2 linked regions of the Danio rerio genome follow. The protein of the gene in region 2 purifies or fractionates together with the protein of the main gene of each other region. This does not show direct contact. Links are inferred from orthologs where the notes say so. Each region holds a gene or a part of one and is shown on either strand. Other genes may lie near its edges.

The links.
Region 1: the proteins of ret (region 2) and stat3 purify together in Homo sapiens (affinity purification with western blotting; 3 studies listed by BioGRID and IntAct, with this or other methods). This does not show direct contact. The link is inferred for Danio rerio from reciprocal best matches to the Homo sapiens genes RET and STAT3.

What each region holds. Positions count from the first base shown.
Region 1 is NC_133178.1:15,780,351-15,782,844, forward strand, and holds the end of stat3 (signal transducer and activator of transcription 3), read left to right. Parts: intron 1-1,151; coding exon 1,152-1,258; 3' UTR 1,259-1,698; downstream 1,699-2,494. UniProt on the Homo sapiens protein: Signal transducer and transcription activator that mediates cellular responses to interleukins, KITLG/SCF, LEP and other growth factors. Once activated, recruits coactivators, such as NCOA1 or MED1, to the promoter region of the target gene.
Region 2 is NC_133188.1:28,812,674-28,816,513, forward strand, and holds part of ret (proto-oncogene tyrosine-protein kinase receptor Ret precursor), read right to left. Parts: intron 3,313-3,840; coding exon 3,030-3,312; intron 1-3,029. UniProt on the Homo sapiens protein: Receptor tyrosine-protein kinase involved in numerous cellular mechanisms including cell proliferation, neuronal navigation, cell migration, and cell differentiation in response to glia cell line-derived growth family factors (GDNF, NRTN, ARTN, PSPN and GDF15).

The sequences.
Region 1 (2,494 bases), on a different chromosome or scaffold from region 2:
TAACTGTAATGGGTTATATGCACATGGACTTTTAATTTTAGTCAGCCAGCCTCAGCAATCTTTCCATTTATAAAATTGCCATGTTAAGGTCTGATTTCTTTAAAAAATTAATGATATTCACTGCCTGATAGATATAGGATATAAAGTGGATCTCACACCGGCCAAGAAGAACTGCGTCAAATTCCATTTCCCGCCATCACATCTTAAAAATGTGGCCGTTTATTTTACCCCAGTGTTTCTACTGTCAGAGTTTCTGCGCTCGCCTGCTGATCCTGACTGCTAGTGGTTACTTGGTCTTTAATTTCGATTTCCCTTGAACAACTAAATAAATGAATAAGTCTATTCAACTGAATGTACTTTAACTACATTACAACATGGATGATGTAAAAGAAGCCATATGAAATTGAAAATAGTCACATTAACCTTTTACCCTTGTTTGTAACCCACAATCAATTTGTACATAAACGAAATATGGCAAAGAGAATGGGACAACTGCATAAAAAATAAATTACATGAAATTAACCCGTAAATAAACAAAAGGCATTTAGCAAATTATAGTTTTGAGACCAGACATGATCAAACGGTCTATACCAGATGTCGAATCGGACATTTTAGGTTTGCTGAATAACGAAGAATCACCTAAATGTAATGTACTGCCAGGCTGCTCTTACCATAAAACAGATTTTGTTGGAATGTAGAAGTTTAAAATCCATTTGACAAAATTTTTATAAGGAGGGTATTTTGATGGACATCTTTAAAAAGGTACCACCCGGAAGAGTTTTAAATTATTTATCAAAAATTGAACTGAAATATCATATTTAACTTTGAAAAAGAAATGTGTGCCATTTTATCTATTAATATTTTATATATTTGTCTATGTAACTTTTTTTTTGTAATATGAATTTGTTTTTATCATTTAATATTTTATGTACATCCATTTTGCCACGAAATAGCCATAAGTTGCTGATGTGGCAAGAAATAAATAATATATAAATAAATTAACCTTTCACAGGAAGTTTATCATTGGCTGAAAAACAAAAAACAAAAAAAATCCCTTACTTTTTTTTTTTGAGGATAAGTAATTTAATGAAAGTAACTTATTACAGCCAACCCACCTTCTTATAATACTGTGTGTTGCCATGTTTCCCCAGAATCCCTCACTCTGGACATGGAGTTGAGCTCTGATCATGCGTCACCCATGAGAGAAGGGTTTGCAGCCTCCACAGTCTCGGATATGGACACCTGCCGAAATGCTTAGTTTTCCAAGATTTTAGTTTCATTTTTTTTTTTTTTTTTTTCCATTGGGAAAAGCAATTTTCATGTATATAGTGAGCTTAGGTGCTACAACTGCTTTCTCTCTCCGAGCCAAATTTTGCATTTCTTTTTTTGATTTTACAGTCAGTCAAAAGTGCAAACAAGCTAAAGTTTTCATTTCAACCTCGACAATACTGAAGTTGACTTTAAAATTAAAAAAAAAAAAATAATAATGGTTACACTGTAAAAAATGCTTTTCTTGTTTAAAGTTTTTGTCTTGTTTCTAGTCCAAATATCTACAAAATCTTAAAGGGCACCTATTTTACCCCTTTTACAGGATGTAATAATCTTTTGGTGTCTCTAGAATGTGTCTGTAAAGTTTCAGCTCAAAATACTCATCAGATTATTTATTATAGTAACCAGAATCTGCACATTTCGGTGTCTGAATACAGTGTAGCTGTTTCTGTAGCATGTCTTTAAATGCAAATAATCTACTTCTCCCCACCCACCGTTTCCACATGCGTGTCTGCTTCTATTACACCCCAAGACTAGGGGAAAACAACATGGGCTTAATAAACGGGGGAAAAAGTGTTGTGGGTGGTGGATTTCCCAAACAAAACAAAAAACTTGATGCAAAAGATCCCCCTCGGACATTCAGATGAGAGTGGTTGATAGATTTATTATAGAAAAATAGGCCAAAATAACAAACAAAAGACAAAGTAAATGAACTAAATTACTTATGTATATTTAAAGAAAAATACAAGAAGCTTACCTTCCTCCTTAAATATAAACAGTCAAAAGTAATCAAATAAATAGGCAGGCCACCTCTACAAGCTCAAACTCTCAAAACGTTGCAAGCATGAACAGTTGTACAAGACTAAAGGTTGGTCGTCTGCCGGAGAGGTAGGGAAAATCCAGAAGCTCTCCACTCCCAGCAACCCTTGCACCACAAATGAGCTCCCCGAACCCTTCCGTAAGTTCCTTTTAATAGGCCTCTGCGACCAGCAGTCAATCAGAGCTTGGATCACATTAGAATGGGATTCTATGGAATAACAGAAAACAACAGAAAATGCGGAACACATGCAAGACACATGCAATGCGCAACAAAAAATAAACAAATACTTTAGTCGTAACAGCTTCTCATCATGCAGTACGTCAGCTAAACAGACATCAGTGATAGAGACAGACACTGATAAAGCTGAAATACAGCTCCATTAGTCAAAAATACCAAGTAAGTTTA
Region 2 (3,840 bases):
AAGATTTTGAGATATTGAGCTATTGCATTCCGCATAGCAAATATGTTTTTTTAAGATTTGTTTCTTAAAATGTAAAAAACATCCCAAAATTAAAATGTAAATAAATTGTCATAAGAATATGTCAATCAAAACTCAATTTTGACAAAAATGTCAGATAGAACCTTAAAATTTTAAGGTGACGAATTTCTAATTATAAACACATGCTTTTTTCAGAAATAATGTAATCTTTAGCATTCAATATTTGAAGGAATTTTAGTTGTGGCTATACTGTGTTACATTGTAAGAAGTGATTAGTTGACTCTACTTAAAAAAACAGTAAACTCATTGCATCATAATTATTAGGTAAACAACCTATGTGCATACACTGTAAAAAGTGATTAGTTACTAAAAGCGAGTAAACCAATTGCCTTAAAAGCAACAAGTTGACTTTACAAAAGTAATGTAAGCAAACCAATTGTAACTTGGAACTGTTATGTGGACTTCATTTGAATAATTATGCTAATTATACTCCCTTCTTAAAATCAACTAATCCCTTTGTACAGTGTCAGACTATTTTAGCTCATCTGTTTTCTAATAATACTGTAATAATTAAAATATTATATATTTGCTGCTTCATTAAGTTTATAAAATATACAATTATAGCCTGTATGGAATTTAGACGACACACTGGAGTCTGGAAGAGCAGATATATTTTACTGTATGTCATTTTGCTAGATACAGAAAAGCTAGAAAAGACTAATATAATAAAGCTGTATTGAAAAAAAGTAATAAGTTTACTTTTATTATTATTATTTTTAAGTGAGTACAATTTACATAATTCTAAAAATTAAGTCAACTCAACAGTTCCAAGTTACAATTGATTTACTTATATTGTTTTTTGTGTAGTCAACTTGTTGCTTTTAAGGCAATTGGTTTACTTGCTTTAAGTAACTAATAAGTTTTTATAGTGTACTTATAGAAGTTAAGTCAAGTCAATGAGTTTACTGACTTTTTTAAAGTAAAATCAACTTGTTGCTTTTAAGTTATTGGGTTTATTCACCTTTTTAAAGTAAAGTAACATTTTTTTACAGTGTAGTAAAACTGTTAAACAAAAAAAAACAAGAAGTTTCAACTAAAAACTCTTTATTTTGTAGAAAACACTGTGGTCATGATTAGGGAACAGAAATGATTGTTGCATGATGAAAGATTACAGATAACGTTTCTGAAGGTTGAATTGGTCAAAAAAAAAAAACACAATTCATGACACTTATACTTCTCACCTTTCATTGACTTGTGGACACACTTTGGGTTCAGTCTTTTCACGGTTTTGAAAACAAACATTCATTAATTTTCCTTCACCCTATTCCCTTTATTCATCAGGAGTCGCCACAGCGGAATGAACACCTCTTGTAATTAGTTATTTAATAAGTATTCATTTTTTTTACAGTTTTAACTTTCTGCTGCTTTCTGCTGATGAAATTTTGTTCATTGCAGGCTTTCAGTCTAAATTCTTAGAGATTCTTTAGTTCTATATCAGTACTTTTACTCAGATTCCAGCTTATCAAAATTGGCCAGATATTGTCTTAAACTAACATTTCCTATATTAAAGCATATTTAATCGACTTTCAAACTGTTTAAATCTCAGATAATTCTCCCATTTATGTTTTAGTGTGTACATATTATTAGTGACACTTGTAATACATTAAATAAAGGGTCCTTATTGTAAAGTGTGACTGGTATCATTTAACATAAGCAAATGTTTCTTTTGTTAGGTAACTAAAGATAGAAATATTCCTTTTGTTAATTGAATTAAAATAAATGCAATGTATACCTATATTTTAGCTAGTTGAGAAAGAAATATTTATCATTTTAATTGTGCTGATAATAATCTAGATATTAATATTTACAGTAGCACTTCTTCACTCCTGTTTGCTCAAGTTCAAATGATTAAAATCATCCGTAAAGCACCTGGGAGTAAGTTGTTGCCTTCTTTAAGACTGTGAAGAAATAAGTGACATTGATGAAAGTTTGGTCGCTGCAGGGTTTTAGTCAAAATTCTCTTAAACACAGCGGTGTAAAGTAATAAATTACAAATACTCTAATTACTGTAATTGAGTATTTTTTTTTTGAGGAATTGAACTTTACTAAGTGGTGTGCACTTTACTTTTACTGGAGTACATTTTTAGTTCTATATCGGTACTTTTACTGTGCTATTTTACCCTGCAGTCACTACTTTATGTTTATTTTTTCTTGTCCACGGTTATTGGCTAAGTAGAATAATCAGTTCCAGGATTCCCATCCAATCAAATCATGTCACACCAAGGACCGCCCACAGACCTGTGGCTAAATGTCTAATGCATATGGCACACTAATCTGAAAACACTTCTGCAGATCCTCACTTGTCTTTTGATTGGTTTAAATAAACAATATCTCCATGAGCAGCAATCCTAACCAGTCTTGAGCTTGGTTTGAGGAGTCAACTGCTGGACACTCTTAGCTTAATGCATAACCAGTCAAAATGCATAACCTTGGTGAACCTTCAAAGTGAATAACATTAACAGATCTACAATTTTTGTAATACTCACTACTCTTAACTACTCTAAGAATGGTTACTTTTCATTTGTACCTAGTATTTAGAACAGATACTAAGCTCCACAAATCAAGCTCAAGACTTGTTAGGATTGCTGCTCAATCTACACATGAAAATCCAGTTTATTTAAACCAATCAAAAGACAAGTGAGGATCTGCAGAAGTGTACTGTAAAAGTTAAGTGCTCACCACTTAGTAACGCACAATTCCTCAGAAAAAAAATACTCAATTACACTAATTATTACTTTACACCCATGTCTTTAAGAGAATTTTGACTGAAAGCCTGCAGTGACCAAACTTTCATCAATGTCATTTATTTCTTATTACTCTACCTGCACAAGATTTTTGGGCAAGTAATTTTACTTTTACTTGAATAGGACTTTTCAGTGATCTTTTCATCACTGCTTAGCTTGTTCTCAAATTTTTATCTCCACTTTAGTCTTGCAAACGTTTAAGCTTACCTTCGCCTTGAAAACTGACGGTGAGCTGTGTCTTGGCCTGAAGCTTGTTCTGCTGCTCCTGGGCAATGACCACATACTCCAGCTCTTGGCACTCTGGTCTGCGTAACACTTTGGTGTCGTTCACATAGAGAACGCCTGTATTATCATTCGGGTTTTGTGCAAGACTAACCGCCCAGTAACAGGACTGAGCTTCAGCAGTGATGTTCCTGTCGACAATCTCTAACTGATAGGTCACATCAATGCCCTTAAACTTCTGACAGTTCTCCACACAGACTTTTCCAATCTAAAAAAAAAACACAAGAGACACATTAATGCGAACTGTCTGGAGTAACTGACCAAATAAATTGCAATTTCGACCTAAAATTTGTTCACACTAATAATGAAAATTATTTTACATAGCATATATTATATTAAACATTAATTAATTGCATTAGTTTCAACATTTACTAATAAATTTAAATAAAATATTTCTGTTAAAACTGTATGTTAGTTAAGTATTAAGAAAAACTAGTAAGTTTCTACTACTAATAAACTTAATTAATAAACACTATATATGACCCTTTACCACAAAACCAGTATTATGTTGCACATGTATATTTTTTTAAAATCAAAATAATGAAAGTTATTGTTTTTCATTAGGATGTTAAGTCAAAACTGCATAATAATTCAATTTAATTTACTTCAAGTTTATTTATACAGCGCTTTTACATTGTAAATTATGTCCAAGCAGCTTAAAATAGAATTTCAATAAAGCAAACATGTTCTGTGAAGATATTTTGTAAATTTCCTAGGGTAAATATATCAAAACACA